Astyanax mexicanus: one gene and its partners. The protein of the gene in region 3 purifies or fractionates together with the protein of the main gene of each other region. This does not show direct contact. Links are inferred from orthologs where the notes say so. Each region holds a gene or a part of one and is shown on either strand. Other genes may lie near its edges. The genes, in order: ilf2, hnrnpa3, sox2 and myef2.

Region 1 (7,168 bases), on a different chromosome or scaffold from region 3:
TTAAGCTACTATCGTTTCTCTAAACCTCAGAATTCCACAATATACTCGTACACAGACAGATTTTGATTGTGACCGATTTTATCCCCTGATTTTATCCACACAATTTCATTGCTGGGTTGTAGTGTTAAAACTTGGTTACCTGCTCAGATGGTGTTGGAGTGAGATCTTGGTTGCGCTTCAGAAGAGCCTCACTAAATGCAGTCTCATCAGGTGCCGGCTTCACTCGTGGAAAAGCCATCTCACACTGGAAAAGCAAAATTTGGTTTATGAGTACAACTGTCACTACAGTATCTACATGTTAAGCGCCTTAAAAGCATAAAGTAAAAAATTACTTACAACATAAAAGTCAAACGGTATGTGTGGGACAAAAGGGCGGTACCTGAAAGCCAAACAAAAATGTAAATAATGACATAGCAGAACTGAAGCAATGCTTAAAGCACCTTGTCTTTGTTGATGGAATACATGTAAACATCAAATAAAAACTGAAAAAATATCAGCCACGACAGACCACCAAATCAGGGAGGGGTTCCTTTGGAGTTGTCTGCATAAACAGACCTAATTCAATTTTGCAGTTCATTACCCTGTTTAAATAAGTTTGAGTAAAGAAATCACTGTGCTTAATATCAAATCTTCTGAGTTAACCCAAAAGAACCAATATTGACATGTCACACACCCCTTATGAGCATTGTCTGTCATTTTAACTCATACAACCCCTAAGTAACATACACCCCTAACACAGGATCACATGTCAGTTTGTTAATGCATCTGACCTTACTTACAGAATGCAGGAATTTGTGCTTCAGGTCTAATCCAACAATTTTAACAATTAAAATGCTTCACTTAAAGGTTTTAGATAACTAGTTCTGATGACACTGTTTCTAAGACAAAACATTAGAATAGAGGTAATGAAATTGTTGTCATTTGAGTTACATGAGGATTTTAGCTGTAAAATACTTACAGTTGTCTGAACAAAGTAAAAAAGAATGAGAATGAGCTGCGCACTCAATTTATCAGATGTAATTTTAAATTTGATATCAATACTTAGAAGTGGGTCTAGGCTTATGTTTTTAACCAATGGTTCTCAAACTGTGTTAGCCCCAGAGCCTGTACACATTGTGAGATCCATTAATTCAAGACCCAGCTTGGAAACCAAAATTAACACAAAGCAAATCTAACGGTTTTGATCACATTATCTTACCCCTGAACTAGACCTCCACGGGAGCCGAAGCGACCACCACGGCCCCTTCCACGATCGCCTCTGTTGAAAGAAGAAAGAAGCATGTTAGATAACTGGCTAGATTAGTCCAGTAACATAATCTAGGTTAGTGCACACAAACCCACAGCTGATGCTACTGTTCAAGGCATAGCATTAACAATCTATAGTATGAGTTATATTTTTGGGGAGAAAAAAAAAAAAATCACACCACTATATGGGAGATTTTTTTCTTTGAGAACTTTTGCTGATTATTTGAATCCCCACGGCTTTATCATGATGCCGATGCCAAAAGAGGTCTATATAATGTTGAAAAATAACTTGTTTTATTAAGCTAAAAGCAAAAGAACATAAAATGAATTAGTGCTGGGCAGCATACCGGTTCATATGGATAATATTACTGCACACTGAATTTATTCACACTACAGAAAGAAGGAAAATGAGGCTTTAATACTGTAGTTCCTCTAATGGCTTCAATAATAACATTGTAAACTAAAATATTAAAATTGTGTATTGCTTGATGTTATTGAGGTTTTTTAGAAATAGCTCTTGAATACTAAATATTTAGTATTTTAGGTCTGTTTACTGTTTAGTTTTAACTATTTATTTAGTTTTGTAAAGGAAGTTGTAGGCACATCTTTTTCTAAGGTCTATTGTTTACATTCATCTGTTTTTCTACTAATGAAGTCATAGGTTGTGTAATTTTGGGGAACAAAATACACCCAATAGTACAGCCTTAATGTTTGTATTCATAAACATTCATTAAGTCATAAACCTATATAAAAGCCCAGTCATGCAAATAAAATAAAATACAATAAAAAATACAGTAAAGCCGTCAGAATCTTGAAACAAATGTGACATCGATTTTTGGTCATAACGTCCAGCACTTATTAGAATATAAATAGCCAAATATGCTTCTTTACATAATTCTTGCACATCTAAGTAACATTATTTTTATTTATGATCCACTTGCACGCCTCATGATTTAGAACGCAGACATGCCATTTAACATTACATTAAAAATAACAAATACATAATAAATAAGCTATATAAATAAAGGCTATGGTGTAATAAAATATGTTTTGTTGCCTGAGAGCAACATCATGCCATAGAGGGTTAATTAAGCAGCCTGTCCAGGACTAGCTAGCTATCTTTAAGCCAGGCTGAACTAGTACACAGAAAACCATTAAAAAAATGGACCAATTACAAATCTAAGCACACTGAAATGAAACAAATTCATGTGTTTTCCAAGAACACAGACTGGTTATTTTAAATACACAGCTAACCTAGGTCAATATTAGCTACCCATCATCAATTTAATACCAGCTAACTGTTAGCTACACTCGGCTAAACTGGGGTTTCATTCATTCATTCACACACAGCGACGCGACGACGATTAAACACACAAATAGCTGCATTTACCCAGCCTTAAAACACCAACGAATAAACAACTCCTTTAACAAGACATCATACAGTAACACCGAGCAATTCCCCTGACTTCAGGCTAATCACCACGCCAGATATTAAACTAGCGAGCTAGGCTAGTTTAAGCTCATGCTAGCCTGTAGGCTAAAGGCCCTCAAAACGCCGATAAATCATTCTCAATAAATAACGATATTACTGCGCATTTCACCCCAAAAAACACGAATGTCACAAAACAGCGCAGATAGATATCTCACCTCATTGCGTAAGACGTGTTGGCAGCTTTATAAAACAGAGAAAAGATGAAAATGGGTCACCGGCACCCGGAGCCGCCGCTGCTGCTGAGACGAGCTGAGCTGAGCTAAAGCTGAAAGAGCAGCAGGGGAAACGGACAAAGAGCAGAAGTACCCCAAAATAAAAGTCCCTGCATGCTTAACCTACCGCACCCCCTTCTCTGCGGGAAAAAACACCTAAATAAAATACCTCTTACTACCAAATATTATTTATTTCGAATGGACGAATAAATTAATAAAAAATAATAACAGCTACAAAGAATAAAATAAACACAAATAAATAATTCCAATTAATATTAACACGCCAATGACCCATAAACAATTTTAGCACGATAGCTTTCACTGGTACAAAATGAATACATGGTTGTTAAATTGCGTGTGTGCTTTTTATACGTTTTTAATTGCATGCACTTTTCTATTTTATTTCACAATTAAAACACTTTAATTGTTTCTTATATTGAATTAAATTATAAAAAATGACTGACATCAGATTAGATTTGTCCCAGTCTTTATTAAACGTTTTTTAATGTTGTGTTAATATCCCTGCAATGTCACTTGTGTCAATGTTTTCATTTTCAATTTTGGGAATGTCACTTTAAACATTTCCATAATGTTAGTGTTCAACTAGCTGGGAAAGTTACGTTTAATTAACGTTGCAGTGCAAACCATTATGTTGTATGTTTTCAGAACATTCCTGGACCAATATTTCTGTAACATTGCAGAAATTTTACCTTTTCAAAACGTTGCTAAATGTTCTTACAACGTTCTCTGCTAGCTGTGACATCTGTGGATTTAATGTATGTGAATGGTATTATAAAGCTCTGTTTAATGCTTTACTGTCAGTTTTGAGTCATGCAGGTCCACCTGAAAGAGAAAGTGGGGGCTGGAGGTTGGAGGTGTGAGGGTTTAGGAGGGGTTGATAAGATTTAGATCTTAGTCTTAGTCTTCTTGTGGAGGCAGTAAGGGCTTTTGTTTCTCTGCTGTTTGCAGGTTATGTTGACATGTCGGCCTGTACATGTAGGCACATCCAGTGTGCACTTAAGTGGTTTGCAGCTGAGTGTGAACAGAACAAAATGAGAATCAACCCCTTCAAGTCTGAGGTGAGAAAGTGCATGTTCAGTAGAGGTGTGTTCTCTGTAAAGCAGGGGTGTCAGACCTGTCCACAGTGAGCAGGTTGTTCTACCCATCGATACATGCTTCCCAAAGGTACTGCGCATGCGCTGACATACACAATTTAATTATATCTCGTGTTTTTTATTTATAATTAATCTGTTTTAGAGGGACGCACTGTCATTGCACAAAAGTGTAAATGAAAACTAATAATTACAATTATTATAAATAAATACAAAAGCAGTTTGTAATGAGCTTTATTTGCCATACCTTTGCCATGATACAATGATTTATGCTATCCAAATCTAATAACGTACATATACTGGAATTTCACTGGGCCCTAAAATAGTGCTTTTTTGTATTTTTACACTTAAATATACATTAGGGCAGCACGGTTCGACAAAGTAGGACAATTCGACAGAACGGTGGTTCTGTGGTTGCAGGTTTACATTTCAGTCAAACAGATGTTGGAAGACTCATTAAATTAGAGGAATCGGGGCTGCTGCTTGTTGCTCAGAATTAAAACCTACTGTCACATCGGGTCAACATGGAATTAATCTGGCACGGGGTGCCCAAACCTTTAGAATTGTGAGGTGCTCTGAAAGTGTAAGATTATGCAGGATAAACAGCAGATGGCAGCAAACAGCACATTATTGGTCAGTGTTCATCTAAAAAAGACCTCAACTGGTATAAAATATTAGATAAATATCATACCCGTCAAGTTTTAGATTTAAAAATAAGGGATATGTTCCTCTGTCCGCCTAAAGCCGTCCCTCCAGCCCAACGAAGGTTCAGTATCCCTTACATTTTAAGACAGGTTTACAAAAAAATCTAAAATAACCACAAGTGAACCACTTACACACTAAAATTAGATTATCAGAATCTGAAATGTTGTGGACATTTCTACATGTGATTTTTTTAATACAGCCAAATTAAAATCCTTTTCTAGATATTAAAAAAAGTTAAGATTTCATGTCTTTTTTGCCATAAATGCACTCTTTTATATGATATATTTTTTATTTATTTAATAGATTTAAAATTGAACAAAGGGTGCACAAATTCTGCAAAATGACTGTAGGTGACCTAAAAATAGTATTATGAGCTTTTACTAAAAGGACATGGACCACATATATTCCATCAGTAAAATTAGTCCTAAGTGGCCTACACAATTAATACTTTTTAATTAATACTTCTTCTTTTTGATCACTCCACCCCTGATCAGTTCATTTCGGTCCTCTCCACATTTTAGTTAAGCTGAGTCAGCTGTAATTTTTATTTTATTTTAAAAGGTTTAATCTGTGTGTTTTATTTCAGAGACGAGTATTTTTAAGCAGCTATCAGAAAAATCTCCTCACAGTTTACATGATTAGACCTTTCTTAAAGAAAAATCGCTGAAAATCCAGATATGTTTTAACATCAGCAGCTCCGACTAGCTGCCTGAACTCACAGCGACTGAGGGCTTCACCACACTGACTCTCCTTTGCAAACTGATTGGCTGTTTCTCCTGAAAGGCGGGACTTTCTCCTTGAACCGGCTCCACGATTGGTTAAGAGACACAGAGCAGTCAGCTCCCTGTCTCCTTAATAATATATATTTTTTAATCTTAATATAATACGGGAAATTTACGGGAAAATACTAATACGGGAGGACGGCGGGAAAGAGGAGTAAAATACGGTAGTTTCCCGGCCAAAACGGGAGACTTGACAGGTATGAAATATTTCCTCTCAATAGTGTCTGTCACTATTAATTAAATCCAGTGTTTACCCATGAACAGATTTTAGTATGGAGTTCTGCACATTTAAACAAAAAAAAGTCTACAGGAGTCTACAAAAGAAAATGTATATAATGTAATTGTACCACTAGTTATGAAAACAAAGTAACTCCAATAGACCAACAAATGAATACACAGTGAGAAAACGTTTAAAATGTTTTTAGCATTAAACTATGAGTTAGAAGTGGATCGTACTGTGTCTGTGTCTGTATAAGTAATCTGCTCATTAGGGCCTGTAAAATGTATCCCTGGATCGGAATATGTTTATCCTGTATGGACAATTCTTCCATTTTATGTTCCCATTGTATAAATTCATATTAGAAATACAAAGTAATGCTTCAGATAATAGCCATCAAAAAAAATCAAATTTGATTTCATAATGTCCATGAAAGAAAAAAACATCAGTTATTTTCTACTTTAGCTTTTTCCCCTAGGCCTGACTGTATAAAAAGTCATCACAGTATTCACAGTACACTAAAGTGCCTCTTATACTTGCTGTTAAGTATGGGTTGGACAATATATGGATACTGCAATATATTGCAGTATTGGTTAGACTGGATTATATTGGTATGTGAAATCAAATATCTATATATATTTGTTAAAACATATTCACTCTAAACTCTCCCCCAATTTGACTTACTGTTTCATTACTCCACATTAGTTGTCCAATTCTGTGAAACCTTCACCAATAAATTGATAATTCCTGCTATTTGCTTATTTAGGAGTATTTTATCTTCTTCAGTAACACAGATGCTGTGAAGAACCATAGAGAATTGTGTTGTGATATATTAAGTATCACAGAGTCAAAGTAGTTTGATACCATTTTTACCATGGACAGCATGGATTGTGATAATATTGTATCATGAGATGCCCTGTTATCCTGTGATTCCCACCCCTAATTTTGAATAATATTAAATGAAACAAATGCAGCCCACCTCAGTGACAAGAAAAAAGGAAGAAATCTTGAAAGAAAAAACTGAATTACATTTTATAAAATTCTAAAGCAGCAGGGGCAGTGATTTTGCAGCAGTTGGCTGCTGATTCAAAGTATATAGAAGAAACACTGTACATAACTTTATATACTTTTCATAAACTCAGCATTTACCATCTTTTAATTATTCATTTGTTCATTAAAACCTTGATCTTGACATAGCTCCAATAAAAGATAAATTTTATATTTTCAAAAGTTCAGATGGTAAAAATATCTCTGGTTCAAACTGAATAGGTGTCCCTGGGAGAGGGTAAGAATGATCACTTTTGTATGTATGTGCGTGTGTGCGTGCGTGTGTGTGTGTGTGTGTGTGTGTGTGTGTATATGTGTCCCTGAGGGACGGCATACACACGTCTCCCCTACTGTCA
Region 2 (7,001 bases), on a different chromosome or scaffold from region 3:
AATTACCTCCTCCGCCACCCCGATCTAAAAGGGAAATAAACAAAGGAGCTGAAAAGTAATCTAACCTTTTCATGTTTCCTTTTCTGCTGTTTGTTTACACTAAGGCAATAAACAGGAAATTTGACTTTTTTTCCTGAAACGTTTCTCTAAAACAAATCTCTAACAATTCTTAACAGCATTTAACAATTATACTTTAAAATAGGAGTGAGTATGTTTTTCTGGTGTTGTGAATAGTGTATGCAATTAATGAACACTATCCAGCTGCACATTTTGCTAAAAAGATCAATACTACTTTGCATTAGTAGAGACTAAAAAACAAAAAGTAATTCAAACAAGTATTGTGATGTACATTACATTCAATTACACTATATTTTGTTATGTCTTATTATATAAACATAATTGTATGCATTTTGAGACTATCCCTGAACATTATATTATCTTTGCCATATCACACACCCCAACAGAATTATAGAAAGTGCCTCACACACAAATGTACATAAATTATTTGACTATTGATGATTTGTGATATGATGATTATTATGAGGTTGTACTTACACCTCTGGTTAGAAGCTGCTTGCATTTCCTGTTTTGGGAGTGCTTTCCTGACTTCACAGTTATGAGAGTTTATGGTGTGGTATTTCTGGGCTAGAGAGAAACACAAATGGGAATTTTTAGTGCTTGTACTAAAAACAACAGCTACAACAAGGCAGATTTTTCGTGAATATTTTCTTACCAACAATTTTATCCACAGTGTCATGATCATCAAACGTTACAAAACAGAATCCTCTCTTTTTCCCTGTTGGCCGCTCCTCCATAATGTCAATGCTCTCAATCTTCCCATAATGCTCAAAGTATTCTCGTATGTGATACTCTTCTGTGTCTTCTTTTATACCTCCGACAAAAATCTTTTTTACAGTCAGGTGGGCCCCTGGTCTATTCGAGTCCTAAAAACAGTAACAACATCAAGAAAAGGTATTGCAAATTATGTAGGTTTTAAGGCAATTATGTTTGAGTTCTGGAAGCGAAATCAGTGAACTATAGATGACAATCTTTAGTCTTAAGAATAATCCAAAAACTACTAATAATATTGTAGAGAGTAAAAACAGTGCATCAAGATACCTCTCGGGAAACAGCCCTTTTAGGCTCAACGATGCGTCCATCAACTTTATGGGGCCGAGCACCCATTGCTGCATCAACCTCGGAAACACATGAATAAGTTACAAAGCCAAAGCCTCGTGACCGCTTGTTCCCTGGGTCCCGCATTACCTGTGGAAGGAAGTAGTTAGCAATTAAAGCTTACACTGAAAGAAAAAAAAATCTAACAAAATGCCCCAAACAGCACTGCAGTTCTCACTAACCACACAGTCTGTGAGTTTGCCCCATTGCTCAAAGTGAGCACGCAGGCTGTCCTCTGTTGTTTCAAAGCTGAGACCGCCAATAAACAGCTTCCTCAACTGCTCTGGCTCCTTGCTGTCATGACCCTGTTGACAACAAGAAAAAAATATTAAGAAACATTACAATTAGCATTAAAATTCCCAGGTTCCTATGAAATGTAAATGCATCTGTAACTAATGTCCATTAGCTATTACAGCTTAAAAAAAGTAGTTAATCAGCAGTCATAGGCTTGTTAGAAATGTTCTGTTTGTACAGATCCCCTGAAGTACTGTTGCTAGTTATTCTAAATAATACTTAAATAAAACTTAAATAATTTAATTAACAGGCCCTCAATTTAGTAATATGCTGCTTGAATTACATAAACTTGAATTAATAAACATATAACCATTCCCCAAATTTAACAATCCAGTCTGTCAATTAAATTGTATTTACCTTCGTTTTAATAGCTAGCTAAACTGTTCCTTCAACGCTGAATTCTTTCTATTAAAAAAACCTTTTAATTTCCCAATAAAACCCGTCAATTAAATAATAAATAAGTAATACATTTAATAAATTATTTCCTCTAAATAATAATTATCCACTCCCTTATTTCCTTTATAGAAATAGTTAACCCTCCAATTATCCAGAGCATCCCCTGTAAACCATTGGTACAATTTGTTTATAGAGAAAAATAATTTTCTAAGCTGATACACTGGGAGCAGGGGCTTCGTGTCCGAGATGCTACAGGTAAGGGTTTCAGTTGAGCCATTTGACTCCGGTAAATTTTATATGGATGATTTTGAACTGACTGAGAAACGCTACATTTCGACACAAGCCATGTTCTTTACAGGAGAAACCGGTCGCTGAACCTGCTGGCTATCTTATCAGCACTGCCCTCATCCGCGTCTGGAATATTCCAAGCGGGTTCTCCTCAAACGCCATTTTAGAGCTGTTTTCCTCTCTCCACCATATTGTTAGCCTGTGTTTTCGTGACTCTTGTGTCATACTGGAGGAGCAGTCTGGACTTAGACTACCGTTTTCCAGTTACTTCCTCGCCAACATCACAGCTTGACATTCAAGCCGAAATGCAGGAGATTAGCGAGCTAGCCGGACCGGTGTTAGCTGTGGGCACTAACTATGCAGGAGTGAGAGTATTCACTTTCCGTTTCGTGATTTAACCAAAAACCACAAGCAGAAATGTACTATTCGGCTGGTTCAACTTCCCCAGTTTCTGAATTACCACTGAAAAATATTCATGTGCAGAGTTACCTTAGCTACCTAGCTCCCTTTACCTAAATCTGGCGAGAACCACCCAGCTAGCAAGCTAACCTTAGCGTAGCTAGGTAGTAACTAGCTTAGCATAGCTAGCTAGCTGTAAACACGACAGCCAGCCAGCACAGCAGAACCAAGAGCCCAAGCTGCCACCTGTACTTTACTGTACTGCGTCTTTAACCTAAACCTCTTATAATATTTCTAGTTACATGCCATGCAATAAAGCACAGTGATACACAGCTAATAAACGGTTATTACCTCCATGTCGCAGCGTCTGCACCCCTCCTTTTCACACCAGTGCTGCTGCTGCTTTTCGGGGCTGTAACACCAGAGACCACCACCAGGGGATCGAACAGTCAGTCACCCAGCGCAGCTGCTGTCTCTGAAACACTAATAAATATTAGCTGTTTTAGCTTGTTTGTTTGCTCAGCTTTCAGCCTTCTTCAGTTTTTTTAGGTAACTGTTCCTAAAAGCAGAAAAGTATCTAAATTTCATGATGAATCAAGCAGCAGAAATGCTACAAAATTATTTGGGGTTTTTTTCTTGCAAAGGTGCCATTTTGGTGATATGAGGTGTTTTGTCCTTCAGTTAGGTTATTACGTTATATGTTATTTCTCAACTGGTTGTATAATGAATATTGCTTTTATTCTTGAAAGTGTACCAAACAATATTGTGGCGTCTGTGTGTGTGTGTGTGTGTGTGTGTGTGTGTGGCTGCTGTGTGCCTGTCTCTGTGTGCCTGTGTGTGAGTGGATGTCAGGTGTGGGGCCTCCCTTTTAAGTGGGGTTATGCAGAGTGGTGATCTACCATCCGGTAGATTCCTAGTTGGTTTAGTGACCTTAGGGCTGTTTATGCTGTGTGAGCAGTTGGGTTTCGCTCTCCTAGCCTTGTTAAAGGCTATAAGTAAGTGGCAAGCCTGTTAAATAAAGAGCTGTTGAGTACTGTAATGAGTCTAACGAGTCCTCCTTCCTCTTCCATGCCACATTATAATAATGTATATACAACAACATCCTTTATCAGTCCAAAGTCATTGGAGTGTTTTCTTAGAAAATCGTACATCACTTCATGCTTCCCACTGCTGACAACTTTTATGGAGAAGTGGATTTTCATTTTCCAGCAGGACTTGGCACACTGCCCACACTGTCAAAAGTAGAAATTTATCTTATATAATATCTAATCCAATCTTCTGAGACACTGGTTTTTGGGTTTTCTTTGCCTGTAAGCAATTCATATTTTGAACTAAATTACTGAAATAAAATAACTTTTCAATAATATTCATTTTTTTTAGATGCATCAGTACTGTATCCTCAAAGTGAATAAGTAATTTAGAGCGTATGACACTGGGAAATGAGAAAAATAAAGAGACAGACAGAGTAACATCCTGTAACTTATATATATATATATATATATATATATATATATATATATATATATATATATATATATATATATATTAATTTTTTTTTGTTTTAGATTTCAAAAGTACTAAAATTGGCCTTAATACGTTGCTTCATTAAGGCTATTTTATATTTTTAACACAACACTTATTGAACAATAATATTTTATTTAAATTTTAGTGAAATCCACATTTTATAGGCAGCCACATTACCTTATGTAAGTCTTAATTTTTAACCAAAAATTAATTTGTCCTCTGTGTGCGCTACGGCCCAATCTCATTTCACCCCTTTGCCCCACCACTTAGCCCTACCCCTCTGTTTTGCTTGTGCAAATGTCTAGGGGTAGCGTGTCCCGATTTTTTTACGCTGGAAGGGTAGGGGAGTGTTAGGGCTACATGACCCTTCAAACGCACACTCAAAAAAGAGGGCTAGAATCACTGGCAAGATAGCAGCACAAACAACCAAGGAAACCCAGAAATTTAAGTTTTCCTTAGTAGAAATTACAATATCTACTATAATACCATAATTTAATGTGTAGTTTCAATGTTTTGTGTCCATTTTCTCCATAACAAACATAATTTAAGATCCCCATTACAGAGGAATTAAGGAATGGACAATAATGAAGACAATGCCCTGCTAGTTAACTAGCTAGTTAACAAGCAACTAGGGTGCTGAACTTTAGCGCTTCACTGCTAAATATCCCTATCAGTGTTTAAAGGGATATCCCAATTCTTTAGTTAATGTTTTTAGGGGGACAAAGTTACAAGGGGAAGGGTTACACATGAAAACAAGGAGTACAGATAAAAAAAGACATCCTCAACCTGAACTAAACTGGGAAATGAAAAAAAATTAACACTGATGCTATTATTAGCAGTGGAGTACATACCAGCTCTTCCAATCTTGTGACTGGCTGGTTTTAAAGCAGCCAGTCAGGTTTAGGTTATTGTGAGTCAAACAACAGTTAGGAATTCTTTACAGGTTATACTAACCAGTGTAGCATATGGGGCTCACATGGGTGAAATGTGGGCTAGTAGGTGTAGGCTCAGAATGGGTTTGCACACAAATGGGCTTCATTAACAGACACCATCATTACCATTATTACTGCCCACCTCTATCCCTATCTAGATAATTTATGCAGTGTATGAACCAAGATGGGGACCATGTTTTGTCACCTGTCTTACATTAAATAGGGCTGTGCATTGGCAAGAATTTGATACAGGGTTTACGATTTAAAATATTGCAATGTATTGTGATACTGTAAGGCAAGACTATATTTTGTGATGGTTTAAATACATTTTTGGGAAAATTCCTATAGTATAAAATTCATATTAAATCTGAATTACAACTGGATCTGGATCTAGCAAAACGGACTACCCTTAATATTCACATGTAAACTAATAATAAAAACATTTTTGAAAAACGATACAGTATTGAAAAATAAAATACTACAATACTTCGATATATCAATATTTATTTCACCCCAAACACTGACCCTGGTGAAGCCTATCAGTGACATCCACATGAGGGACCAACCCTGTGGACAAAACCTTCTGGTTCTTAGTTTTGCTACTCATACAGGCCCAATATGAGCATGTTATCTGGGAAAAGCCTACACTTGTTGATATAAAAAGGTAATCCTGAATTGACAACTTTTACAGTTTATCATGTTTGTTTCTTGGCCTGTGGTTTCCCAACTGCAAATATGTAGTTTACGTGATCTTTCCAGTTTCCTGTTTTTCTTCAACCTGATTCATTTCATGTATTAGTTATCAAGTTCATCTCAAAAATAGGCAGAACCTGTTCTATTGGTTGATGAGATTTTATTTTATTTAATGTCACCACTATCATATTGTGTTCTTACTGTTTTTTTTTTTTTTTTGGAGCTACAGCGCTTAAGCTGAACTTTGGACTCAGTAACTGGCAATATATCTGGCTTTTTAACTAGCCTTAGTTATAATTCCCACATGACCTAGTTGGACTGAGAGATTTTGCAATAGCTTGTAGATGGGGCTGTTGGATAAATTCATATTATATTGGATTTGTTTCAGTATAATATTAGGATATATTTGTAAACTGTGTGTTAAAGTTAAAATGGGAGTCAAGAACTCAGTAGGCCAACATAATGGAGACAAGCCCTGTGTGTGTCTGTGCTTGTATGCAAGCTATGTTTTACCACAAAAAAAAACAATACTGCACATTGCGTCACTCTGGGTTGATTATTACTCAGATACTCATTCATTCTCACTTAACTATAAAAACACAATAGTGAGTTGTTTGTAAGTTTAAGCCTTCCGTGAGAGAGCTGTGTACAGAGCACTTCCTGAAAGATGCAGGAAAACTGGTTTTCAATCTTGCTGTGATCTTTTTACAAAAACCTGGGAACATAAACCTGATGGCCTTGAGTTCCAGACACGTAGCACCTGGACTGCTGCACTGGAGCCTACAATAGAGTACTGCGCCACCTGCTGGATGCTTACAATCCTCCTTTCCTTTAGACATATGGTGGCCTACAAGCTGTTTACTTGAGACCCCATTCACACTGATCACAGTATTTGAGTGTTTTAGATTTAGTATGTGATATCACTTCCTTAATTAAGACTCTAATTCTACAAGAACTTTTCTCTTTTTTAATTTGATAGCAATGTTAAATGCCCAGTACATAAATAACGCCAAATTCATGACTGGTGAACCAGTAAACTGATGTATTTGTTTATTTCAAAATGCTATTTATTACAAAAATATGAAATAAAAGTCCCACACAAAGTACAAGCCAAACAATTTCAGGTTTTCACTTTTATGTCACTTGAAATTGGGTAAAATCTTTTTTTTTTGTAATACTATTGTAGCCTGCCGTAAGTTTTAGTATGCTGTTATTCATTCATGGTAACATGTAATTTTTGGCAAAATTTAGGTAACATCCAAGCCCACAATACTTTCATACACTCATGCTGAAACTCAG
Region 3 (6,869 bases):
AAATAAAACTCTTTAATTTAAATGAAATTATAATTGAACTAAAATTAAACAGGCAAAATAATTAAACTTAAACCTAAGATTTACCTGAGTTGATGTGAACAAATACATTCCATCTTTTCATAAAGATATAAAAGTATCAACCTGACAGATCTGCCCTTACCACTTTTTACAATCGCGAGTAAATTATTGAGATTAAAATGTATTTAATCACGTTCACACATTTATTCAGAGTAATGTACTTTAAATAAATGAAATCTACCTCATGGTGGGTTTTCAGCCTTTTTGGTAGGTTTATCAGCCAGCCCCATTAAAATGCAGATTTACAGGAGAATAAAACCTCCGAAGAGCCGATGAGCCACAGTCCTTCACAACAAAATACAGAAACAGAAAACGGTGTTAAAGCTCGATCTAAAAAGCTCAACACAGACATTAATGTGGATGCAAAGCTGACACTCGCATGCACTCCTCAAACACACACGCACGCAGTTGCTTTACTGCTCTTTAGAAGATATTAGAAGACATTTTCAAATACTTACAGTCAAATGAGCCGCATATTTTTTAAACCGAGAAGATGGTCATGCAGTTTTCGTTTTTTGTTTTGTGCATCACTGACTATTAAAGCATATTAAATCATTTGTGTCCTGAGTGGGAGGTAAGCAAATGAAACCAACAACAAACCTACAAAAGGAAGAAATAAAATCAAAACCCAAAACAATTTCAAATATCCAAATTTCAAAAATTTATTCATTTCAAACTGCATATTGAAAAAAAACTCTCTTACTGAAATTGTAACTGTTATGGTGCTATTAGTTCAAATATATATATATATACATGGAGTGTTGGCATCTGCGTACAGGCCACATTTTTAAAAATACAACTACGGAAAAAAAGAGTTAAATTTTTTTTAAAATAAAAACTTAAAATATCACAGTAAATATACAGAAAATTTACAAGCCATGAGAAAATAAAGAACACAAACTTCATATCTCTAACAGATGGAGGGTTGGGGACTAAACAAAACAAAACAAAATAATATATAAATTTACGTGCGAGTGTTTTTGTATTTCATCTTTTTTTCTTTTAGAACTAAATTAAAAAATGTTGTACTGTCTTTCACCCTCAAGGAGAAACATTTCCTGCTTTATATTTTTTTCCAGCGGTTTGCAGAGACTGGAGCATTAAGCATTGTGAGTTCTGCATGATTTAGATTTTATAAAAAAAAATCACTTTTTGTAGTTTACAAACATTACAACTGATTGTTATATGTTTTTGATAAATACTGTACAAAACGTTGATTGCAATAATAAAACATCATTTGATTGATTCTCCCCACCCTCCTCCCTTTTGTATGTTTCAAAAAAGAAAAAAGAAAACACACTTAAAAAATAAAATAATTTTTGTACGGTTCCTACCGTTTCTTCTAGCGCATGACTTGCTTTCTTTCAAACGAAAGCAAAGAAAAAATGTTTGTGTTCTTTCCTCGAGTCCTGTACAAGTTTTCCCTCACCAAAAAGAAAAGTTCTGTACAAAAATAATAATAATAATTATAATAATAATAATAATAATAATAACAGTAGTAGTCCAGTCCCAGTGTTTTCGCGTTTGTGTAAAACGGGTCCAAGTGTCCATCTACATGTGCGTTAAGGGCAGCGTGCCGTTGATGGTCGTCCCGTGCACAGGTGCGCCCTGGTAGTGCTGGGACAGGTGCAGTCTGCTTTGGCCCGTTTGATCCTGCACGTCCGCACCGGGCAGGTACATGCTGATCATGTCCCTCAGATCACCCGTCTGGCACGGCTGGGCAGCGGCGGAGCGCGAGTGCGAGCTAGATGTGACTACGGCCGGTGGGCTCGCGCTGGACTCGGACTTCACCCCGGAGCTCATGGAGCCGTGCAGTGTCATGGGGGGTCCGCTCTGCTGCTGGGAGTACGCCATGCTGCTGTACGTGGGCGAGCCGTTCATGTACGTCTGCGCGGTGGTCATGGAGCCGTACTGCAGCGCGCTCATGTCGTACCGGTGCACTGGTGCCGTGGCCGAGGTCTGCATGGGCGCGTTGAGGCCGGCGTGCTGCGCGTACCCGAGCTGGTCCTGCATCATGCCGTAGCCGCCGTTGCTCCAGCCGTTCATGTGCGCGTAGCCGTCCATTCTCTGGTTCATGCCGGCCCCAACGCCGGAGCCAACTCCAACGCCGACCCCAACACCGACGCCCACCCCGCCGCCACCCGGTGCGAGGAGTCCACCAGGAAGCGCGTACTTGTCCTTCTTCATCAACGTCTTGGTTTTCCTCCGCGGTCTGTACTTGTAATCCGGGTGTTCCTTCATGTGCAGTGCGCGGAGCCTCTTGGCCTCGTCGATGAAGGGTCTCTTTTCGGACTCGGACAGCAGCTTCCACTCGGCCCCCAGCCTCTTGCTTATCTCCGAGTTGTGCATCTTGGGGTTCTCTTGGGCCATCTTCCTGCGCTGGCCCCTGGACCACACCATGAAGGCGTTCATGGGTCTCTTGACCCTCTCTGGGCTGCTTTTCTGATTGTTGCCCCCAGGGTTGTTGCTATTCCCCGTGCCCCCAGTGCTCGGCTGAGGGGCCGGGGGCTTCAGCTCGGTTTCCATCATGCTATACATCTAGAAATCGTTGTCAAAAACCTTCTCCACTCGACCAAGAACAAAAAGCACCAGCAGAAGAAGTAGTAGAACTTCTGGCAAGTGAAAAAATACAAAAATAAATAAAAATAAAAATAAAAAAAAAACTAAACAAAAATAAAAACAAACCAAGTCCAAGCGCTCTCTGCGGCAGCCCCCCTTCAGCCCGTGCTGGGGTAAGTTTTTCTGCAGTTCTCCACTTCGTCTATTTCCCCCTCACTCCTGTTTTGCCCACAAACTTCTCAAGTCTTCAAAAGAATCAACAAAATTGAGCTTTTTTTTGCCCCCTTTTCCACGCCGGAGCCTTGACAACTCCAGATACTTTTGGTACAAGTTAATAGACAACCGTTCACGTGGAAGGACTGTCAGCCAATATAAATGGTTTCTCACCTGACCAATCGCAGCGCGGGGTTTGGTGGGTTAATTAGCATAAAGGGGCGGGGCATTGGGAGGCTAGAGTGGGTTTCCCAGCTGAGTTTGAACAGAAATCTCTCTCTCACTCTCTCTCTCTCTCTCTCTCTCTCACTCTCACACACACACACACACACACGCTGCAGATATATGAAACAAGTTTAATTTGAACGTGATAATGTGCAGTGTTTAGCCCTAATGTTAGTAACTTAAGTGAAAGCTGTGGAAGTCAGAGAAATATATATATATATTTCCTTCGGGATAAAGAAAGTATAATATATATTATATGATATATGGGTTTTAATATATGTTATTTGAGTTTTCACCATCTAACTGATCTCCCTGCCTCGAGACACTGCTGCTGTTTATTATTAATTTCAAATTCTCCTCATTATTTCTAATGTCCAGTAATTTTTAAGTTAAAGTAAATCAGAACGCCAATATTGATTTGGTTGATACACCGTTTAAAACCTCAAAAAGTATCACTATGTACTGACCCACAGTGAAAGAAGATTTTACTATACAGTTTTATTCTCGTGCATAGTGCAACCAATGGACGAACAACTGCAGCTTTATATTTACTCTGATAGATTGTGCACACAACAGTTTGAGATAATTTCAGCACCTCCTGTGTTTGATTTAAACTTGTTGTAAGTTATAAGCCCTCTAGTCCAGTTCAGTGCCAGTCCCAGTTATAAATAAACTGGTGAGAGAATGAAACTCTCTGCAGAGGAAAGTGGAGCCGATCTGGCTTACAAACAAGGCTTATTGTAGAGACAAACACGTGCAATCAGATCACTTTTAATTCACAAAAAGCACGAGCCGACGAGGCCCTCACTGTGTTTCAACAGCGCCCTCTTCCGGCCGGTTTGACTAACGCCTCTAATAGTGCCCCAAGCTTCACTGCAGTCTAAAGAGTAGCAGTGTGGTGATCTGGACTAAAATGTTGAGTATAAACTAAATTACTCTGTCTGGAAGAAAGTGTGCTTTGTGGCCAATCAGCCAGGATTTAATTTTTCAGGTCTGAATTTTTTTCCCCCTCATTTCCATTATTAACTAACTTTTGGATTTTGCACAGAGATGCTGGGGTTTAAAAACATTTTGGGTAAAAGTTTTAAAATGTTAAAATTTGGATTAGAATTTTATTTCGAATTATATTGGTTTTATAATGTATAATATTAAATTTGGGCTAAAATAATTAAGTTTGGACTATAATGCTGTAATTTGGATTTAAATTTTAGTGGTTAGACTACAATTTGGGAGTTGGATAGTGGCGGTTGGGGCAAGATGCTGGGATTTAGACAAAAATATTTAAATAAAAATGTTGGAGTTTAAATTAAAATATCTTGCATTAAAATCTTGTAGACTAAACTGTTGGTGAATGTGGTAAAAGGTTTAAGTTTAGGGTAAAATGTTGTGGCCATTATTTTAGCTCAAGACTAACTCATAAGGAAGAAGTGAAATGTTTATAACGTTTATAAACCCAACTGTTTTTACAAGGTCAGAGTATATTGGTATAAATTGAGTATAATGGTGTATAAGTGGTAAGATGCGTATGTGTGTGGCTGAGGTGTAGTGGACACCCCTCTCTCCCTCTCTCTATTGGGGCCTTAATCTGCTTATGGAAATGCAGTGAACAGCAGGAAATCAGAAATCACCATCATCTGTATTTGTCTGTGTGTGTGTGTGTGAGAGAGAGAGAGAGAGTCCTCCTTAACTGCACTTTTCTTAATTGACACAATTACAATACAGCAAATGTTCACACACACACACACACTTCTATGAGACTGAGAGCAGACAAATATTTTCATAAAGAAAGAGCTCATCCAGTGCTTAATAATATCTCACACACAACCAGAAAGCACATAAAAGACTGCTGTACAAAACAAGCCTAACCACATCAATACAGAAGAAACTCTATAATTAAATATATACATTAATAAAATCAAAAATATTAAATATTAATATTAAACTTAAAAAATGTATTTTTAACACTATGAAACAGACTAAGCTAAAACACTCAAACCCTATTTCAGCTAAGCACACTGACATCCACAACTCTCCATTATCTCTCTAATTATTCCTCAATTTTATAACATAAGTCAAAAAATAAATATTAAAAGTAGATTTACATTTCTGCATAATTTTGGAGATAATTCTTTTTAGCGATGTATAACAAAAAATCATTATATTGTCTGTGTGTGTGTGTGAGTCCGTTCGCATTGGGCATGGTTTGTCCACTAGGGGGCGCAGATGAACAGCAGCTTGTGTAGAAACTGACTAGTTTTGGGGGGGGGAAATAATTAATATTTCTATTTATATTTTCTCATAAACGTAACACTTTTTAAACAAGATATGAGCACACACACAATTGGCCAAATTGACAACAACAAAAACTAAATCAATATATATATATATATATATATATATATATATATATATATATATATATATATATATATATATATATATATATATATATATATTTTATTTATAAAAGCCCATTCACGTGATATTAAGTTTAAAAACTTTTACTGTAAAAAAAAAAAGGCGCTCGTAAAAAACGCGTTGATGACGTTCGCATCGCAGGCAAATGCACATGCACGTAATTGCGTCAACAGTTGTTCTTAAATGAGAGCAGCGCATGTTTAATATTTAGGCATTAAAAACAATTATTTCAGAATGAATTCCCTTAAGTTTAACGTGTGTGTAAACTATATATATATATATATATATATATATATATATATATATATATATATATATATATATATATATATATATATATATATATATATATATTAGTGTAAAATATAGTGTAAACGCCCTTTAGGCATTTAACACATCTAATCAGCACTTTCCACCCTCAACCAAACACACACGTTTCTCACTGTGCTGATACACACTCACCTCACTGGCTGCTATTTCTCCTTACTGCCTGGCAAATGCCCATATCCACAGTGCATCTGTCCCAGAGGTGCCAAAACTTTTACCAAAAAAGGAAAAAAAAAATCCCTCAATTGCTGCATCCAAAGCTTCAGATCTCCAGTTTAGCCAGTCCACACACACTGCCTCATACGCACAATACACACCTCATATTCACAGTTCATAACCACCTCGTACACTTCATAGTCCATGTAAACCACATAAATCTCACTCCTTGCACGACGTGCACTCCTAGCTCCCTAGCACACTCCACACACTCCTCGCTCGCCTTCGCTCCTCTTTGCTCGCCGGACCTGGAACAAGAAAACGCCGTTTTATGGCTACACACAGGGCTGATTTGAAAGAGGAAGAATGCATCAAGAACAACAAAAGTCAAATTATACCACCACCCCCAGCACCGAGCATAATGAGGAGGAAAAAGCTTTGTATTTTTTTTATTTTTTTTTCCCTCTCGCCGGGTATTCAAAGATAATTTGAAGCCATTGTTTCTTCCACAGATGGTTCTTTTTTTAATACAATAACGCTGCTCTTTGTGTGCACTACCCACAATAAAAATCTAAAGCCTTCTCCTGAATAACCCATTTTGTTCGCTCTTGTAAAGGGCCAACAAAAGCGGCCGGGAGCTAATGGGCTCGCTTTATTCAAAGCCAAAGAATGGCTATTTGATAAAGAATTTTTTTTCTCCTCCCTTTGCTGAGAATGCATTGCCATGTCATACAAAGCTACCGTACAGTTAATTTCACCAAAAAAACAACAAATGCCACATTATTATCATTATTATAACTATTATAATTTTGCAGCTAAAATTCCAAGACTAATCTTCTGTTGCTGAGTCAATTATTTAATCCTCAGAAAAGTGTGAATAAGCAAACACAGTC
Region 4 (7,810 bases), on a different chromosome or scaffold from region 3:
CTGCTATCAAAACTACTTAAAGTATAAAAGGAAAGGTAATGTAAGGGGAAAAAAATAATGCCATTAAGATCAAAAGCTGAGGCCACACCACAGAGTCCTATAGTGCAACACAACCTAACAATAGTAATATAATGTGGGATGCACTAGGCTGTTCCCTGTTTCAGCTGCATATATGCTGATTGTAAATGAATGTATTTTAGTAGAATAAAGTAAATATATTAAAGAAGTTTAGTTGGACTGGAGTTTATCTGGAGTTCTCTTGAGTCTCTGCACGGATCATCTTCATACTAGACTACATACATCTGCTATGTTCTTGCTGCAGTGTGTGTGTGTGTGTGGGGGGGGGGGGGGTACGTGTGCAGGTGTGATAAATTACAGTATAAACCAATAGGGAGTCGGAATGGTATATGTTTATACTTCTCTACATCCAATCACAATCAGATTCACTCTGTCTGGATGGAGAGATTTATCAGGATGGGGGTTTTATTGAAGGATGAGAAGCCGGAATGAAAACGAGCTGAAATGAAACAGGAGTAACGAGGCTGTTTTTATTCAAATTATTATTCAGATAATTGTGTGAAAATGTAAGAAGTAGAAGGAAAAAGCCGTTACTCCAGTAAGTAAGCTCATGAAGTATTTGGACTTTGTTACTTGCCACCTCTGTTTTGTTACAATACTATGGCCAAACAGTTTATTAACAGTAAGATAGCAAATAATATATATATATATATATATTTTTTTTTTTTTTTTTTTTTTTTTTGGTAACACTTTATAATAACTTTCATTAATATATTTTGAACTAATGTTCAGTAGATGTGAACAAAGCAGTAGTTCATCAGAATTTGAATATTAACAAAACAAAAGCATGGATATTCATATTAAAAATGTTAGCAAATCATTAGCTGATCAGAATTTCAACATTAATAAATTGCCAGTAAATACAAATTTTGAACCGTACAAATGTTCATCAATTGCATAGTATTTGCAAATGTGATATTACATCAAATGTGATTAGTTAATGGTATATTATTGAAAGTTATTATAAAGTGTTATCTATTTTTTTTTTGTAAACCTAAATTAACCGAATAAGGATGACCAAGTCAGGGGAATGAATTTCTCCTGTGAGGCTCTTACTGTCTGACGGTACTTGAAAGCACCATGAACTGTGTTACACTGAATGGACAGGGCTAAATTACATTAGGCTGAATGGGAGGAGAAATAATACTGCTGACTGAATGGGCAGATCTAAACTGCTCTGAGCATCTCGCTCTGTAAAATCACACCTCTTCATTTATTCACCTTAAAAAATCCATTTTTGTGTATATTGTAAACCACATCCATTAGAAGTAAAACAGTAGCAAATACATTAGAATGCAATATGTAGCACACAGCATTAAAACTAAGCCTCTAATTCTTTGGATAAGAAACAGTTGAGCTCATATTGAGACTCCATCTGTCTTTTATGTCCTTCTGTCTTATTATTGTGTCGATATTGTGTCGAATCTGAGCACAATATGAGACTTTACTGAGATTTATACTACGTGATATTACTGAGTTTTAATTTTAAACGCAAGAGATACATTTGAGCAACAGGAAGTTTATGCTAAAATCCCCTTTGTCTTTCCATTTGATCTCATTGTTATCAAGATGAAATGATAACAAGTACAAACTTTTGTTGAAATCTCACCTTTGTTAACCTCCAGCGTTCTGAATTACAGAACTTTTAGCTAATGCTCTTAACAGGCTTACAATCTAAGTGATAGGGGCATAGATTTGTCCATGCAAAGAAATCACTATTTTTCCACACTTTATTGGTAGAATTCTAAGGGCTCTGACATTTAAAACGAGGCACTGAGAACTTGCACAGAAAAAGTGAATATTATTATTATTATTATTATTATTATTATTATTATTATTATTATTATATATTTTTTTATTATTTAAAAAAATAGAAATGCATGAATTCCAGCTGAAAATCTCTATATAATATTTATTCTGCATTTTGTTCTAAACCCCTTGATTTCAGAAGAAAGAATGAATGAGCAGGTGTTCCTAAACTTTTGTCCGTTGTCCAGCTCAGTGAATGCGAGTGTGTTTGAGTGTGTGACAGAAATCAGCTGATCGGTCGAGGTTAATCCTTTTTTACACACACACACACACACACACACACACACACACACACACACACACACACAAACTGCAATGCCTTTCTTGATGAATTGAAAAGCGTTCATGCTGGCCCGTTTCCCGGCACAGCATTATGGACGGCTTGGAGTGCTGTAATAGTGGGCTTATTGACAGAGACGAACAGACACATACACACACACACACACTCACAGGCTGATGTTCGGCCTGTCTCTGCCATGCTGAGACAACATTATTATTATTTAATCATCAAAGTGCCGCCAGACTTTCTTTCTTTCTTTTTTTTTTTTTACAATCATTCTACTGTAATTTATGTTGGGTCTGACCTCTCCGTCTCCTCTGGGTAATGGATCATTAGTTCATTAGACCTCTGAATCCCCTTCTGCATTAACAGGAGGATAAACTCCCACATAATGAGTGATCGTAAGTGGTCTAACATCACTGTCCAATAAACAGCAATGACGTGCAAAACGTCTCTCAAGGGTTTATATCATGACAACTCTACCTTTATAGAATACAGAAGTTTATGTAGGATGCTTTATGTATGATGTATTGCCAACTATATACTGTACAAGTCAAAAGTTGTGACTTACCTTAAATTCAGTGTTTTTTCAGTGGAGTTATAATGGAAAACACCAACGAAAGGACATCAGATTCAAAATTGTAGACATGCACAAGGCTGGGGTGTGTATATTGTATATTTAAGCAGTAACACACTCGAAGTTCATGCTATAACATGTAATATTGGCACTGCTGTGCTGCAGTCATAGACACGAGGCTGCAGGCCAATTACCATAAATCAGCACAGCAGTGCCAATATTACACGTTATAGCAAGAACATTACCATGCATTACCGGCTGATAACGGCACTCTCAGAACGCCTTTCAGCCAATCACATTGCAGCGTTGGAACTACTTGCGGTGTAATGTGTGTTACATTTTGCCAAATGTTAATATTAAATCTGTTTCATTCTTTGTAAATACAGCCTAAAGCTGCCTCCACGTCATGTGGGAAATATAATTTTTGGGTCTATGGTAACCTCCCTAGCCTTTACAGAAAGACAGTCCCTTGAAAAAATATTCATATCCCTTCAAGTTTGCCACATTTCCTTATGTTATACACAAAAACTGTAGAAATAAAATGTATATGTAATAAAACAAAACAATGTAAAAAAAAAGGAATTATAAAGAGAAAAGAAAAAAGCCACCTTTTGCTGCAATTACAGCTAATAATATTATTAAATAATAACTTATTTTGAGATACTAAGGTATTATTTTGAGGTACCACTTTTGAGGTATTATTCTGAGGCCACCTTTTGCTACAGCTCAAGTTTTTGGGGCATGTGTCTATCTGCTTTGCTCATCTACAGGCTAAACATTCTCCGTCAGATTGAATAGAATCTCTGTGAACAGCAATTTTCATGTCTTGCTACAGATTCGATACAGGATTTACGTCTGGATTTTGACTTGATTGCCTTGTATTTAGCTCCACCCATTTCCAAATAACTCTGAACATCCTCCTCATCAGTGCTGAAAAAAACCATGCCACAACCATGTTTCACAGTTTCACATTATTTTGAGATACTGTCATTATATTGTGACACTAAGTCATTATTTTGAGAGACTAATTTGTTATTTTGAGACACTAAATCGTTATTTTGAGATACTAATTTGTTATTTTGAGACACTAAGTCATTATATTAAGAGACTAAGTCGTTATTTTGAGATACTAAATCGTTATATCGGGACACTAAGTTGTTAATTTCAGACACTAAGTCGTTATTTTGAGATACTAAATTGTTATTTTGAGACACTAAGTTGTTAATTTTAGACACAAAGTCGTTATTTTTAGGTACTAAGTTATTTTGAAATACTAAATTGTTATATTGAGATACTAAATCGTTATTGTGGAATACAAAATTGTTATTTTGAGATAATAAGTCGTAATACTAAATAATCAATTTGAAATACTAAATTGTTATTTTGAAATACTAAATTGTTATTTTGAAATACTAAATCATTAATTTGGAATACTAAATCGTTGTTTAAGACACTAAATTTTTGGGAATACTAAATTGTTAGTTTGGAATACTAAATCATTAATTTGGAATACTAAATCGTTGTTTGAGACACTAAATCGTTTGGAATACTAAGTTGTTAGTTTGGAATACTAAATCATTAGTTTGAGACTCTAAATAGTTTGGTATACTAAATTGTTAGTTTGAAATACTAAATCATTAATTTGGAATACTAAATCGTTAGTTAGGAATACTAAATTGTTAGTTTGAAATACTAAATCATTAATTTGGAATACTAAATCGTTAGTTAGGAATACTAAATTGTTAGTTTGAAATACTAAATCATTAATTTGGAATACTAAATCGTTAGTTTGGAATACTAAATCGTTATTTTGAGACACTAAATCGTTAGTTTAGAATACTAAATTGTTAGTTTAGAGTACTAAATCGTTATTTTGAGACACTAAGTGACAAAAAAGGCATTTTCTATTTTAAAGTTATGAATTAATAAAACCAAACTGTTTCCAGCGGGATGTTTAAATAACTCAGAGCTGCCTCTCCGCGTGCGCGTGTGTGTGTGTGCGCGTGCGCGTGCGGGAAGGGAAACGCCCCTCTTTGGAAATATTGGGAGTCGTGCTGGAAGTCTCGCGATATCAGCGGGCAGTGAAGGAGACGCGCCGCAGTGTTTGAAGCGCAGAGAGAGACCATGGCCGACAGTAATCTCGAGTTCGATAGCGAAATGAAACAGGAGGATTCTTACGACGCTTCTCTAAACATGGAGGAGGACGGAGACGCGCCGCCCGAGAACACAAACGGCGTGAAAGCGTGAGGAGCTGCGGCTTTTTTTCTTTGTGGAGTCGGATTAGCCTTAATGCTAACAAGCGGCCTTCAGCCGGCGGCTAATGCTAACCGGCTAACCGGAGCGCGCCTACACTGAAACGGCTTAATATACAGATACCTAACCTAGCGTTTCTTCCTGAATATATATGTTATATCGCTCTGGTTTAGACTAATTACAGATTATTCACAATTTAAGGTGATTTTTTTCTAGTATTAGTGCAGAATGATTCGCCCTAGTTTGATAGTTGTGTCTCTGTGTTAGCTTAGGTGCTAAGAGGCTTTAGCCACCATTATCCATTTAGCGTTAACAGGGTTAGCGGGTAGCTGTGCTAAGCTAACTAACAGCTAACCTAATTTAAATAACGGTCACCGCAGTGTTTTTTATTTATTAGTTAGTTGTAGATTTAAGCAATTAACTATTAGCCAGGCTTATATAGGTAGTACGTAGTCCCTTGTGTAAGCTCTGTTGCTAACTAGACACCTAGCTGTAGTTAGCTAAGGTAGATAGCTAAGTGGGCCATTGTTAAACAGCCAAAGCTAAAGTTAGCTTAGCTCACGCAGGATAGGTTAATTTAATCCTGTATTTATTGTACTTTACGTCAGTTAACTAGCTAAGTTAATTAGATTGGCTATACCTTTTATCTACAGTAAGCATATAGACTATAAGCTGGGTAACTATTGCTTTATACAGATGTGTATCTAAATGTATGCGTGTGTTCTTATGCAATCTATTAGATACTTAAGCTAGGTTAGCTACTCTTGCTCTCTAGCTTATTGTTAGAAGTATTAAGTCATAAGAACCCAGACCGTGTTCTGAATATTGATAACGATTTCAATATAAAATCAGATAAATTCAGTCAGCAGCTTATTAATGTTTTTTTTTTTTTTGTGGGCACGTGACTGTAAATATTTTAAGGTCAAAATCATGATGCAACATAAATGGAGCAAAAATAATTTCCTTATTTTATTTTTAAAAATTCTTGAAGTCAGATCAGAACTGGTTCTATGGAACACAAATGATTGGAGCTATGGATGTGCCATGTTGTATCGCATGCTAAAATACTGGCAGTATTTGTTAATATCGTTATTGCAAAAATACCCTGACAAGTTTATATATATATTTTTTGTTTGTAGCAAGAAGAAAATCCATCCTGTTCTCATTTCGCAGTAAATAATATAAACTAGAGGTTTACTTAATCTTGAAAATAAAAATTAGGCTAATTCCACCAAAACAAGTGCCAAATCCCTCGCCCCTTGTTGTAACAGACCTGTAGAAGCAAATAATACAATTTAACATGTCTAGCTGTTATGTTAAATGTTAAATAACCACATATATGTATTAGAATTAGGCGTTTTGTATATTGCCTCTGTGTATGTTTGGTTCACACACATTTGTAAAACGTTGATTTAAGGACTAACTCCCTCTGGGTTATCCTATAGTTGGGTAGAATGATAAATTTAGCAAACATTTAACTAAAGAAGTTTACAATTTTAATTGTGATTGTTTTAATAATAATAATAATAAAAACTTTTTGTAGCTCAAAATATGTTGCAGTACCATCGAATTTAAGAGGACTGATTACACTTCTTTAAAATATACTTGCAGGTAGTCAGTGTTCCTTAAGTACCGATGCCCAAAATATGCTCATAAAAGCACACCTTAAATCATAGTAATGAAAAAAAAAATAATAAATGTGCCTCACATGACACTGGTGCATGTTTTCATATCTCCCAAACTAAATGGTCAGTCATGTTTTTATTTAGGTACTGATGAAGTTTTATCATTTATTAATTGTTTACCTTTCAAAATTAATCAAATAAAATTAAAACAGGCACCAGTGATTACATTTTAGGACTGTCTTTTAATGGTATTCAGTGTATGTGTTGTCTTCAAACTAGGAGTGGTTGAATGCATAACCATGCTTTTGATACAAGACGCAGTAGTAGTGTCAGTTAAAAAAAATACTGTCAAAAACACTCGCAGTTATTTGTATTCAATATTTACTGTCCTGGAGCCTGTTAAGACCCACTTCCTGTTTGTATGATGCATGCAGTTTGGATTTGTTTTATAATGAACCTCAATTGACTAAATTAATATTACACATTATTTTAGGTTCAGAATAAACTGCATGAAATGCTAAGGTCTACAACTGCACTGATGCATGCCTTCTTTCTTTTCTTACACAGTGACGACGCTGAGGATGCCTCCACAGAGAAATCGGATGGCAAAGATAAAGAGAAGTCTGGAGGCGGCCGGAAGTCCGGTCGCTACCACCCGTATAAGGACCGGCACGGGGGATCTGAAAACAAGAAGGCCTCTCAAAGAAACCGCGTGTTTATTAGCAATATCCCTTATGATATGAAGTGGCAGGCAATTAAAGATCTAATGCGAGATAAAGGTAAAGGTTGCAGAGCTTATGGCACACACATACCCTCCAGTTCCCTCTGTCAGCATCGCAAGCGGCTTTTTCTTATTGTATGATGAAAATCAGGCAGATGAGCTGACGTTGAAAGATGCTAACATGGACAGGGCTTCTTTTTTTTCCTCTTGGGAGGAGTTAAACTACAGATTTGGTCTTATCTTTCCCAGATGATAAAGATTTTTGGCCTTTGTATTTGTAAATAGCTCCAACATGTAACCTCAGTGATTTTTAGATATTTTTACTGTAGAATCTGTTGTAAGGAGATAAAGATGATTGTAAATTGATTATATTTTGCCTGAAATATTGGAATTTGGTTTATACAATGCTTATTAGAAGGTTGGTAAAGGTGGATGTTCACCTTAAAACAGTACTGTGCTTGAAAACT

What was found.
Region 1: the proteins of sox2 (region 3) and ilf2 purify together in Homo sapiens (affinity purification with mass spectrometry; 3 studies listed by BioGRID and IntAct, with this or other methods). This does not show direct contact. The link is inferred for Astyanax mexicanus from reciprocal best matches to the Homo sapiens genes SOX2 and ILF2.
Region 2: the proteins of sox2 (region 3) and hnrnpa3 purify together in Homo sapiens (affinity purification with mass spectrometry; 3 studies listed by BioGRID and IntAct, with this or other methods). This does not show direct contact. The link is inferred for Astyanax mexicanus from reciprocal best matches to the Homo sapiens genes SOX2 and HNRNPA3.
Region 4: the proteins of sox2 (region 3) and myef2 purify together in Homo sapiens (affinity purification with mass spectrometry; 3 studies listed by BioGRID and IntAct, with this or other methods). This does not show direct contact. The link is inferred for Astyanax mexicanus from reciprocal best matches to the Homo sapiens genes SOX2 and MYEF2.

What each region holds. Positions count from the first base shown.
Region 1 is NC_064410.1:45,267,148-45,274,315, reverse strand, and holds the start of ilf2 (interleukin enhancer-binding factor 2 homolog), read right to left. Parts: upstream 3,013-7,168; 5' UTR 2,898-3,012; coding exon 2,893-2,897; intron 1,259-2,892; coding exon 1,199-1,258; intron 380-1,198; coding exon 337-379; intron 245-336; coding exon 140-244; intron 1-139. UniProt on the Homo sapiens protein: Chromatin-interacting protein that forms a stable heterodimer with interleukin enhancer-binding factor 3/ILF3 and plays a role in several biological processes including transcription, innate immunity or cell growth.
Region 2 is NC_064418.1:32,177,919-32,184,919, reverse strand, and holds the start of hnrnpa3 (heterogeneous nuclear ribonucleoprotein A3), read right to left. Parts: upstream 3,013-7,001; 5' UTR 2,911-3,012; coding exon 2,905-2,910; intron 1,482-2,904; coding exon 1,359-1,481; intron 1,267-1,358; coding exon 1,120-1,266; intron 945-1,119; coding exon 734-944; intron 646-733; coding exon 556-645; intron 25-555; coding exon 1-24. UniProt on the Homo sapiens protein: Plays a role in cytoplasmic trafficking of RNA. Binds to the cis-acting response element, A2RE. May be involved in pre-mRNA splicing.
Region 3 is NC_064423.1:26,444,741-26,451,609, forward strand, and holds the start of sox2 (transcription factor Sox-2), read right to left. Parts: upstream 3,009-6,869; 5' UTR 2,617-3,008; coding exon 1,630-2,616; 3' UTR 537-1,629; intron 364-536; 3' UTR 260-363; intron 1-259. UniProt on the Homo sapiens protein: Transcription factor that forms a trimeric complex with OCT4 on DNA and controls the expression of a number of genes involved in embryonic development such as YES1, FGF4, UTF1 and ZFP206. Binds to the proximal enhancer region of NANOG.
Region 4 is NC_064416.1:43,705,982-43,713,791, reverse strand, and holds the start of myef2 (myelin expression factor 2), read left to right. Parts: upstream 1-4,800; 5' UTR 4,801-4,868; coding exon 4,869-4,987; intron 4,988-7,189; coding exon 7,190-7,401; intron 7,402-7,810. UniProt on the Homo sapiens protein: Transcriptional repressor of the myelin basic protein gene (MBP). Binds to the proximal MB1 element 5'-TTGTCC-3' of the MBP promoter. Its binding to MB1 and function are inhibited by PURA.